Saccharomyces cerevisiae S288C: one gene and its partners. Changing the gene in region 1 together with any one later gene gives a genetic interaction. Each region holds a gene or a part of one and is shown on either strand. Other genes may lie near its edges.

The links. Genes that interact genetically often act in the same process or in processes that back each other up.
Region 2: mutations in NRS1 (region 1) and OTU2 together harm fitness more than expected from each alone (negative genetic interaction), as found in Saccharomyces cerevisiae (one large-scale study listed by BioGRID).
Region 3: mutations in NRS1 (region 1) and YGR237C together harm fitness more than expected from each alone (negative genetic interaction), as found in Saccharomyces cerevisiae (one large-scale study listed by BioGRID).

The regions. Positions count from the first base shown.
Region 1 is NC_001144.5:246,515-250,707, reverse strand, and holds NRS1 (Nrs1p), read left to right. Parts: upstream 1-2,281; coding exon 2,282-2,608; downstream 2,609-4,193. Other genes in the region: OSW2 (Osw2p), read left to right, coding at 1-1,991; IES3 (Ies3p), read right to left, coding at 2,755-3,507; FCF2 (Fcf2p), read left to right, coding at 3,731-4,193.
Region 2 is NC_001140.6:76,382-80,036, reverse strand, and holds OTU2 (deubiquitinase OTU2), read left to right. Parts: upstream 1-1,683; coding exon 1,684-2,607; downstream 2,608-3,655. Other genes in the region: YHL012W (UTP--glucose-1-phosphate uridylyltransferase), read right to left, coding at 1-1,101; YLF2 (Ylf2p), read left to right, coding at 2,723-3,655.
Region 3 is NC_001139.9:962,250-967,205, reverse strand, and holds YGR237C (uncharacterized protein), read left to right. Parts: upstream 1-1,550; coding exon 1,551-3,908; downstream 3,909-4,956. Other genes in the region: KEL2 (Kel2p), read left to right, coding at 1-1,167; SPG1 (Spg1p), read left to right, coding at 4,389-4,676.

The DNA of each region.
Region 1 (4,193 bases):
CTAAGGATATTAAAGAGCTGCACCACAAATTAAAACATAACGGTGCAAATACGTATTCAATTGACATTGTGTTAGTGTCTGCAATTTCCTTACAGTCTTTCGAAACAACTTGTCGATTGTTGTCAGATTACACGAACGACAATACGACTGTGCTTATTAGCACTGATTTTGGTTGCGAACTGGAGCCCATAGCCATAAGTTATTTTGGAGGGAAGTGCAAGTGTGTTATTTCCATTTCGTGTGAGGTTGAATGCAGACAGTTATCGCTTGGATCATATGCATTGGTCAACGACGATCAATGTGTAATAACTTTGGGATTAACTTATTGTGATGCTAATTTTGAAGCAAGTCCAACCATTCTGGAAAACACGAAAGCAGCTTCGTTAGAATTGCAAGGGATTAAGGGTTCAAATGTTCGCAGGTTCCTTCTTGGATTGACCGTTGCGAAATGGATGAAATCTAAATTAATTTTGGACCCAAAACAAATGGCATTGAAAATGTGGGAATTGCTTATTCCTAAAATCTCACTTAACATCCTTTCTATCATCTATGAACAATTTGATTATGAGAAAATGTTAGAAAACAAATCCACAGAAATTATTTTTAAAGATCTGGTGAAAGAGTTACTTGGAATTTGCTTTGCACAATGTGGAAGCAAAATTGCAAGGTTTTTGCTAGTAAAATCACAAGGTGAAGAAGAGATTAATTTTGGGAAAATCGTAGAATATTGCAAAGGTAAAAAACTGCAACTTATCAACTCTACGGCAAACGAACATCCGGAATATTTATCCTTACCGTTTGAGCCTTATTGTTTCTACCACCGATTTGAATATCCTGCTCAAATTCTTTTGCATCAGCCCATCATTTTGGCCAAAAAGTATGGTGTTTCGTGTTCAAATTTAAATTTCCTATATGGATTCTATACGAGGTTACTGACACTAAGTGGGCTATCAATAAATGGTGGAAGGTGTGAGCATGCCTTGTCGATGTTGGACAGCAGGATTGGTGGTGGTATTAACGTTGCTTCAGGAATTAATAGCGGCCAAGATTTTACCGATGGTGATAACGAGGATCAAGATAAAGGCAAAAACAGAGTGGACAAAAATGTAAAGGAAGGTTCTTTCATTAGTTTAACACAACGATTCACGATGACAAGTCCACTGGGTGTCAATGATCCAGCTTTACCAGCGGACTTAGAAAAGTTGTATTTAGGTGCAGAATACATTAGCAATTGCGACGCAAATACATCTGGTGGTCAAAAACGAGTAAAATCTCCAACTAAAGCAGATACAGGCTACGATGATAAACACTTGCCTGATGATACGATACATACATTTGAAGATGAATATTTGGCCGATGAAGACGACTTTTCTTGCCTTGGAATTGACAAAAGAAGCTCAACAAAGCCCACAAAGCCTCTAGAAAAATTTGGAGTGGTTGCTGTGCCACACTTCATCAGGAGGTTTTCTATTAAAAGGTCGAGTAAGGATAAATCAAATGATATGAAAAGACCATATACTACAAGCAGCTTGGAGTTGCAATTAAGGTCAAATCACTTTATGTTCGCCAAAGAATACCAAGACTTACATAGACAATTATATTACGAAGTTAAACCAAGGACGCAATCAGAATTGGACGCAAGACGTCGAAACTATTCTGAATTAGAATCTCAGATGTGGAAAATTAAACATCGGTTCAATATTCATAGAGGAGCACTGCCTCGTCCACGAACGAATCCGTATGAGCTATTACTGGACCACATTGATGTTTTGAACCGTGGCAACACTGGGGATATTTTGAGATTTACCACTAGTAGATACGGTGGTGTAGATACGTATGATTCCATCTTGAGGGACCAATCCACGATCATGGAACTTTTAGATAAACGGTGTGCCTATTCACCTCCAGTACTGTTCGATAATGAGGCTAAAGAACGTGATCATGATCGCGATTGTTATCAAGATTACAATCACGACCACCGGAGTCATTAATATTAAAAAAAAAAAATGTGATTGTTAATAAGGGGTGGGATGCGCGAAATTCTATGCCTACAGTAGAAAGCGGTTGTTGCACAAATGATTAAATCTTTATCTCCAACTCACAATACTATCGCGATAGATGCATAATATGTGCAGCTTCTAAACAGCACGGAGTGATGATAAATACGCATATATGTATATATATATGTATGTGCATATGCACGTCCTTTTAAAACTCAAAATACAACATTCTTAGTAAATCCTTTTGTTGACACACGTCGGAACAACTCAGGACGGAGTTAATGGATATGCTTCATAATAAATGTAGTGATGCTATCAAAAGCACCTCCAATAGCAATTTGAGTAATGAGGTAGACAAACAAAAATTGCAATACGATGACCTCGGGAACACCGGATTTTCTGAACTATTTGAGATGGAATCTCAAGATAATAATGATAGCATAGAGGATTTCTTGTTCTTTAATATAAATTTAACCCAGGAGGTTGAGTTCGAGAACCAAAGACAATATGAGCACACGAAAAAGACAAAGAAGCATAACCCATTCTATGTACCGTCAGAGGTAGTGCGAGAGATGGTCAAGAAACACGCATTGAATGGCAGAATATAGTTAAGCCCGATAACACATTCTATTTTTCATGTTTTAATAACGTTTCATATATGAATTTTTCTCAAATATACGATATATACCTAAATGAATATGCATATGGAAGTGAAGTTGGGGATTTTGCAAACTTGTCTTATGTTAATCTTGGCTTAAAGAATGTTTTCCAAAAGGCCGTTCTTATTAATTTTTCTTCTCTTGGTTCTGTTAAATGCTAGTGAATTCGCATTGACGTTCGTTGGTATGGCTACTGCTCCGAATGCGATTGGATGGCTTGCCTTCCTGCCACGATTACTGAACAAATCGAGTTCTACATTTGCATCCAACAGTAGTTCTTTCAATATAAACCACTTTCTTTCTTTCTGTGAAAGTTTTTGGTACTCTTCAAGCAAGTTCTCTTGGATTTTGGTCAGTATATCAATTTTTTCATCATCTGATAAGTCAGGGTCCTCAGTTTCTTGGTCCTGCTCCGCTGCATTTAATGTTACAATTTGGTCATTGACAGCTTGTAAAAAGTTGTCATTCATAGCGTAAAGATTGTCCTTGTACAACCTTGTCTTGAGGGTGCTTATATCTATCTCATCTTGGTTAGCGTTCGTTATTACATTCCCTGGAGAATTCTTTATCATTTCATAGTTCATTTTCGATATGTCATCCACGGCAACAATGTGTCTTTTGAATGTCGTGGTGTTTGTGTGAGTGGAAGCAGTTGAGGCGGCATTTGCATCGGTAGCTGTAGATGGGGTCGAAGAACCTTGTTGATTCAAGCCATCTGCGTTATGAAATTTTTTGTGATGTGGGTCTTTCTCCAAGAAATCTGGAGTTTTGACACTTTTGTAATGTTGAGTAGCTGCATGAGCAAACTGCACCTGTTTATTGGTTGCCAAGAGGTCTTCGAACTTCATTGTTATGATTCCATTGAAGACAGCTATGTCAGTTAACAACGCAATTCCCCCTTTCACACGAAAACCTTTTCTCTAAACATCCTTCTCTTTTATCATAATTCGTGGTTAGTGCCGGCCTAAAAATTTTTCAGCATATTAAAACAGAAGATAGAAAAGAAATAGAAAATGCGATGAGACGTCAAGTTTTCCAATTAAAGAGGACGTGAGAAAGGAGCTGTTAAACATGGATCAAAGTGTGGAAGACTTATTTGGAGCACTAAGAGATGCTAGTGCCAGTCTAGAAGTAAAAAATTCAGCGAAGGAACAAGTTTCTCTTCAACAAGAGGATGTTTTGCAGATAGGCAATAATGATGATGAAGTAGAAATTGAAAGTAAATTTCAAGAGATCGAAACTAATCTTAAGAAGCTTCCTAAGTTAGAAACCGGATTTGATGCTTTAGCAAACAAGAAGAAGAAGAAGAACGTCTTGCCTAGTGTGGAGACAGAAGATAAAAGAAAACCCAACAAGAGCGACAAAAACGATAATGACTGGTTTACCTTACCAAAGCCAGATGATAACATGCGTCGTGAAGTTCAACGAGATTTATTGCTGATTAAACATAGAGCTGCTCTTGATCCAAAGAGACATTATAAGAAGCAACGTTGGGAGGTGCCAGAGAGGTTTGCTATTGGTACCATAATTGAAG
Region 2 (3,655 bases), on another chromosome or scaffold:
CAATACTCGACTGTTCGGAAAGAAGGCAATACAATCGACCAACTGTGTCTTAAATTGAAGACACTCTATCTCTTCATTTTTGTGTGTTATTTTACTTTCACTAGAATGAATTGGCAAATTTAAACTATTAGACTCTATTAGCACCTTTAGCTTTTTCAAATCAATCCAAATGTTATTAGTGTTGACAATTCGACACGTGCTTGCACTTTCATTGGATAAGCAGTTGTAATAAACCGATCGTAGTTTACCTTTATATGTTGCCAACACTCCAGTGTTTGAAACATTTGCAGTCCTTTCAACTACTTCAACAAGATACTCGATTTTTTCATTTATGATGAAATTTAAAATGTTCAAATCTCCTGTAGCGCCCAAATTGTCAACATTTGAAACAAATAAAATCTCTTTTCCTTGAGCAATTAATTTGTCCAATTCTCCTGAAAAATACAAAGTGTCAGTTAGGTTACCAGTCCCGCAAGGATACCAAAAATCATTTTCATGAGAATTTATTTGTAAATCGATAGGTAATAATCTATCTTTATCAATTTGTGGAAAGCTTGACTGAACTACGGTTTTCCATCTCACTTTGCTAGAAGAATAATGCTCTTCAAGGAAGTTTGATACTTGAGATTCAGTTTCAAGCGAGGTCATAAATATAAGAGGAACGTCTGAATTATATCGTACATTCAAATTTTGCGTTTGTCGAACTATTACATCCAATGAAGACATCCCATTTTTTACTTCGAATAAAGGGCTTTCTTTACCAATGATTGGATTAGCCTTTCCGGTTAATTTTAAAATAGCTAACTTTGATAATAGTTTACCCTCTAACAAACCGTAATTTTTAATATCATCGAGTTCAACCACTTCATCAATTATCGGTAATCTAATTTTGTCACAAACTAGATCATGGGTGATTGAAGTATTTTCTAAGACATATCTTTGAAAAATGTGCAAAAATAGGCTAAACTCATAATTCTTGTCACGTATCGAAGGAAAATGTTTCTGCAAGGCCCTTATCATTTGTGACATAACAACATCCTTTCCAATACCTTCGAAAGTACCTTCAAACTCTATTTTATTTACTCCAGAGAAAACCGTCATTGATCTTGTATATACTATGTAGAACAGTGAAATATTTTTCCTTTTTTTTTTTATTATCAAGAATCACTTGTGTCAGTTATCGTTAAATTCCAGGTTACAAAAAGATTGTAAATGCCAGGGAAAATACAATTCAAAAAAGTTACAGTATAGTTATATTTAATTACTTAAATTTACTTTTTTTACTATAAGGTGCTATTCCTGCATTCTTTTTTTAATTAATCAGGACTTATAAGCTGATAGTACTTTCATTCTTTTTTTTTTGTGTGATAAGGCCATTGAACATTATGGAAGACTAACTACTTTTTCTTCAAGAAAATTGTGTGCTTCTACTCTCGTTCAATACAGGAAATTTTAATTCCAACAGAGTGGAAATTTATGGTTTTCTTACCACAATAAATTTCTCAATTGTTAAAATCTGAAAAGTTGGCAGCCCTGGCCCTGTCAAAGAAAGTATTATTATGCGTCGCGAAATTTCTTTTTCTTCACGCCTTGTTTTTAGTTTGGGCATCTCGAAAGCATCTAATACAAAATCCAACTAAAGCACAGCATTCAATCTAGTAGAGAGAACAAGAGATATTCATCATGACCGGCATGGAATCAGGAGAGAATTTGGAAAACATGGAAGATATTTTGGCGAGACATCGCAAGGAAAATAAAGATTTACAGAATAAGATAACGGGTATGAAAAAGCAGGCTACTAAATCCAAAAGGAAAGAAGTTAATTCGAAATGCCTAGATCTTCAAGATAAACTAAAGACTAAGCAAGAAAATGAAATAAGGGATTGGAAAATTGCAAATAATGAAGTGTTTGACGCAGAACAAGAAGATGAAGTGACTCCTGAAAAACTTTTAGAACAACTATCCATATCTCGAGATGAGAAAGAACAACAGAATGTTCCCGTTCAACAACAGCAACAAGGCCAGACAAAGAAGCGTCGCAATAGACAAAAGGAAAGATTGGCCAAAAGAGATGCAGCAATTGCTAAAATGAAAGAAGAGGCTGCTTTAGAAGCATCCAAACAACCGGACTTGAAAAAAATGGAGCAGGAGTCTATAGATCAGTTATGCGAGTTGAAGAAACTGAAACAATTCGATATACAACCCGATGGCCACTGTCTCTTTGCATCTATATTAGATCAGTTAAAATTACGCCATGATCCAAAAAAACTGGATCAAGACATGGATGTCATGAAGCTGAGATGGTTGAGTTGTAATTACGTACAGGAGCACAGGGATGATTTCATTCCATATTTGTTTGATGAAGAAACTATGAAGATGAAAGACATTGATGAGTATACGAAAGAGATGGAGCATACAGCTCAATGGGGTGGTGAAATTGAGATTTTGGCTCTCTCTCACGTTTTCGACTGCCCCATTAGCATTCTGATGAGTGGAAGACCTATTCAAGTGTACAATGAATGTGGGAAAAATCCTGAATTGAAGCTAGTTTACTATAAACACAGCTATGCATTAGGTGAGCATTATAATTCATTGCATGATTCTTGATTTTTCCCATCCGTATCTAATGAGATATGCTTATTTGTAAACCTTAATGCATCTATTTAATTGTATAGTTTGAAGCATATGGATATAAAAGAATAAAGAGAAGTAATAATCGGATATGAACATTGGTGGAGGAAAATTTTTACTTGGGAGGATATCGAATAATCCAACTTCAGGGATAGTAGGGCTTGCTAATGTTGGTAAATCGACTTTTTTCCAAGCAATAACAAACTCAAAATTGGGAAATCCTGCAAATTATCCATTCGCTACCATTGACGCAGAATGTGCCAAAGTCAATATACCTAGCGTGCCGCTCTCTAATTTATTGAGAATATATCAGAGTGCGAAATGCGTACCTGGAACACTCACAATATATGATATTGCTGGGCTCACCAGAGGCGCATCTCAAGGCCATGGTTTGGGTAACAAGTTCTTAAACGATATCAGACACGTAGAGGGGATATTTCAAGTGGTGAGAGGATTCTTAAAGGAAGACATCACCCATATAGAAGGTAATGTTGATCCTGTCAGAGATCTATCCGTGGTACAAGATGAACTCATCTTGAAAGACTTAGAATTTCTGGAAAACATTAGGGAAAGACTTAGTAAGAAGATGAGAATGGTTTCGAAGAATTCTAAAGAACATCAGGAAATGAAGATAGAGACAGAATTATTAGATGCATTAGAGGAACATTTGTTTAACGGTAAAAAAATCCGGCATTTCAAAGATCATTGGAACCTGGATGAAGTCAAAATTTTGAATAAGCATAACTTTTTAACCTCCAAACCAACTTTGATATTGCTAAATGTTTCACCTCAAGATTACGTTAGGAATGAAAATAAATTTGTCAGAAATATTATAGAATGGATTAACGAATTTTCGCCAGGAGATAAATTCCTACTTTTCAGTGCAGAATTTGAATCGCAATTGATGGAATGTAAAGGCATAGCGTCAGAGTATTTTGACAAGATCAAGGAAGATACCAATGTTTCTGATCAACAGTTAGTTTCTGCGATACCGCAAATAATACTAGAAATGAGAAAGTTGTTG
Region 3 (4,956 bases), on another chromosome or scaffold:
AAACCCCAATCTTCCAAAGTTGATTCAAGCATCAATAAGGAAAGTCCGGGAACTGGTATCAAAGTATCTAAAAAAAATTTCCCTGTTCTACGAGGACTAACAGTGGATTCAGAAGAGTATGGCTCTTCTTCATATAAGGACACATCATGTCAAAAAGGAATTCCCAAAAATCTTTTTGATGATTTAAACCTGAACCTACAAACATTACGTCTCGAAGCTCAACAAAAGGAACTTGAAACTGCTAGACATATTTCACAATTAGAAAAGGAAGTCCAGAGACTCATGGTAATAAAAGAAGCTTCAAAAGATTCAAATTTTCAAACAGCACGGCTTAAAAATCTAGAAATTCAGAAAACCTTTTTAGAATCTAGAATTAATGATTTAAAAAATTTATTGATGGTCAAATTATCTCAGGCAAGTAAACTCTGTGACCAAATTACGATTCAAAATAATGGACTTAAAACATGCTCCGAACATGTCACTATTAAAAGGGATATCATCGATCTTGAGAATAAATGTGATGTTTTGAAGCGCCAGAACGAAATACTTGTAAATAATATGCAAAAAATAACCCCCGAACTTCATACCTATTTGAACGAATCGTCCTGCTATCTGGGTAAATTATTAAAAAGCTATCCTACCAGTGCACGGCCACCTTCAAGTGAGAAAGATAATCAAATATATGAGAAAGATTCGCTGAACAAAATAGAAAAAGTAATAAATGAAATGCACGAAACCGTGCGTGCTAAAGAGAAATTGCACCTTGAAACTCAGAAGCTTAATGATGAAAGAGATTCTTTGCGGGCTAATTTACTCGACAATAACAACAAGTTGGATGCGCTAAGAAAACTCTCTGATGGAAGCTCGAAGTCTATGGACCTAACAAAGAAGGCTATTCACCTATCACAATCCGAGCTCGAAAAATATCGTAAAAACAACGACGATTTACAGAAGGAGATTGATAGAATTAAAACTGAACAAGCTGAACAGGATGACAAGCAGGAACAGCGTGGCGCCATCACTCATGGAAATTTTGATGCGTTCCACAGAATGAAAATCAACAATCTGAAAGCGGAACTGTATATGTCGAAAGAAAATAGAGATTCCCTCAAGGACGAACTGCTAGCTTTAAAAAAAAAACTATATACTCTCGAACAAAAAAAATAGTCATTGGAAGACGTTGTTACGCACTGGGAAGTCAATATGTACAAAGTATATAAAAATATATTTAAACACCTATAAGGACATTGTAAACATTAAGTATTAATAGAAGGAGAATATAATTGCCAACTAAGCCTTTTGAGGTTAATATTCAATGGTGCAAAATTAGTAGCCGCGGTTATTATTATTCGCCGGGTAAAGAGCCCGCTTTTCTAGGGGGATTTTAGGTGAGCATGCCTCTAGAAAGCCAGAAGGACCCTTAACGAAGCGAAACTGTTCAGAAGAATGAATAAAAAGACACATTGAAAAAAAGAATATTGTCGCACTGTACATAAGGGAGAAGCTGTAATCCCTGGCAAACTGCTAATATCTAATAAAAATAATAGAAGATGTCATCTGCAAAGACATTTACTAAGCATATCTCGTTTGATGATCTGGCACCTTCCTTAATTGATGACCAAGCTACCATTATTAAAAATGACAGTCACCATGTTGGCTTGAATAATCATTTTTTACATATACCTCCACAATTTAATCCTGTTTACAAAAATACTTTGACCGGTAGCCATGGCTCTAATGACCTTGCCACTGACGAAAGCTTGGACTCACCCGAAGACGAAGAAGCTTCTTCGCCACTACAACTAGGAACTCCAACGTCTACAACATCTGGAGTTCCTCACTTCTATACTCAGGTATTTTCTCCTGCAGCACATGATCCCTCCAAAAGCTATTTGAGATCGCCCAGCGTTGAAAGAAGTAGAAGTGAGTCTCCAATGTTCAGGTCAAGAAGAAGGACTTCAGTGAGGTTGCCTCCCCCTCCAAAAGTATCCGTGCTAAAAAAATCTCGAAAAGCTGCTGATGAACAGGGCCCTATTGATGATATTGATATTGGTGATTTGGATTTTGAGCTGGAAAGAAAAATGACCAAAATGACCGAAAGAAACACTCAAAAAAATTCTGGATCAAGGAAAGGCTATACGCAAGCTGCATTTGCCAATCTTAATGAAGTTGAAGATAGAATTGAGACCAAGTCAATGGTAGATTTATCCGAAAGCGAAAATATGGAGAGCTCAAAGAAAAGGTCCAAGTCGTTTGCCGGGATGACAGACGAAGAATTAGCCAAATTAGAGGAATTTTATATAAGTAAAGGAAGATCGAACAAGACTAAAATAGATCAATTTGATTTTGGTGAGCAAGTTCCAGTCTATTTGAACACAACAGAGTCAAAAACGGATTCAAGCAACGTGACGGACCCTTTAGCAGCAATTTATCCATCAAGGCCTACAATTGTTCACAATGCAATTTCAATGACAATTGATCATCCAGACTATGAAAATTATATTTCCAATACAAAAGAAAAGCTCAATTGCAAAGACAAAGATGACGATGTAGATTTAAGAGTTGTTTCGTGTTATATATCAGGTAGGAGATATACTTGGTCATCTGTGGACTGGTATGTTGAAAATTTGACAAGAAATGGTGATCATTTAGTCATAATTACTACAATTCCTGAGTTTGAAGCAAAGATTGATACTCTAGCATATAAGGAGAAAAGAAGGCACCGCTTAGAAAGGATGACTAGCAATACTAGTGAAAGCATGACTACCGCGTCACATAGCCTTATAGGCCCGGATCTCTCTAGTCCTTTATCAACGGGAATAAGAATAGAAGCTATTCATAATGAGGCTAAGCAAACTTGTAGCGATATTTTAAATTACTACGCGAGAAGATTGGCAACTAAAATAGTTAGGATTAGTATTGAGATGGTAAAAGAAAATTCAACAAGATCAGCCATAATATCTGCGACCTCTCTGTATAGGCCAAGTTTGCAAGTAATCAGCACCGTTAGTGCCAACATTCAAATCAAGTTTAGAAATGGAAAAGTGAAACTACCATTTTTTTTAATGAAACACTTTGCAATGCCAGCATTTGTTGTCCCATTCGAATTCATCAAGCCTGAGCTTTTAATAAAACCTAGAGTGGATAAAGATGAACAGGACAACAGCGATGATTTGAAAACGGAAGTGAGAAAAAAGGAACGATTGCAATGGCTAAGTGCATTAATCAGGAGAACTTTGGAAAACCCTTTCACAAAACATAAAGTGGTTGATTCGGATGATGAAGAAAGCGATAGTGATGAGTCAGTAACCTCTGTAAATGAGTACTTCCCAATCTCACCTGAAAAAAAGGAAGAAATGGAATTCTTCGATAAGATGGGATATGTTAGACCAAAACCGTCGAGACAAGTACTATTGGATGATAACACTCTTATGAAGTACGACAGTTCTGGCCGAAAGCTAACTCCTATAGAATCGAGAAATTCGAGGCGCAGCTCAAAGCGGAGTTCAAGAATACAATTCAACAATAACGGCATTTATAAAGTAAAGTCCATGGTTGATGACATTTACAACCACGAAACTGCCTCTACGCCTCATATCAAGACAGCACTAAAATGGGACAATGAGGATCCGAAAATGAAGTTCACTTCACATCCAATGAGAAAAACAAAATCCGCAGGGCTATCACCCAGAACATCCTCCACTTCATCTTCTTCAGGACAGAGAAAAGCGCATCACCACCACCATCACCACAACCACGTTTCAAGGACGAAAACTACCGAAAGCACCAAATCAGGCAACAGCAAAAAGGACAGTTCCTCATCCTCAACAAACGACCATCAATTTAAAAGGTCTGAAAAGAAGAAAAAAAGTAAATTTGGCTCGATCTTCAAAAAAGTTTTCGGATGAACCGGATTAATACAAGTAAAATCAGCAAAGATATAGAAGACAAAATAAGCGTGAAAACAATCATAAACCACTCACAACGGGGGTTTTCAGCTGTTACTCCTCCATACATACATTTTGATAAAGATATAATGTTATATTTCTTTTCGTAATTTTGTTTTACTTCGGTTTGCTCTATAGATTTCATCAGCCGCACCGAAAAGGGAGATCAATAAGGTACCCTTTAAAAGGGATAAGAAGCCTACATCACCCCAATAAATGGAGTAATGGCCAGCATTGGATGAAGAGAAGAATTACGGGATACTGGGATAACACTGTTAAAAATGCTTCGCGACGTGAGGGTCTTCTTCATATAAATTGAACTGCCAAATCTCTTTCACATTATCCAGGATAGTTTGGAATGTGTGTTACTGAAGGATCAGAATCAATAAATACAATCAATACAAATATTTAGCGCATAAAATTCAAACAAAGTTTACTGAAATGAAGTTAGATTCAGGAATATACTCAGAGGCACAAAGAGTTGTGAGAACTCCAAAGTTTAGATATATTATGTTAGGGCTGGTGGGCGCTGCTGTGGTACCGACCGCATACATGAGGAGAGGCTATACGGTTCCTGCACATAGCTTAGACAACATCAACGGCGTAGACACAACTAAGGCGTCTGTTATGGGTACAGAACAGAGAGCAGCTATGACGAAGGGTAAGAGTTTACAAGAGATGATGGATGATGATGAAGTAACGTATTTGATGTTCTCTTCAATCATGTAAGGGAATTTGTACTTGGTTCCCTGCATTTATGTTCTTTGCATTTTGTTTTCGCATTTAATCATAGTACGACAAACGGGGAAGGGGATTGTGATTTTACATAAGGCCCCTCCCATCATTGAGAAGGTTATTAATCAATACATATATAAGCATTTTCTTTTATACATTAATTGAACTGATATTTATTTTATGACGCAATAAAGCCTCTAATGCACTGCTATTATTGTTACTGTTAGTAAATATTCAACTAGCATAAATGATTGATGAGGGGATTCATTGCAAA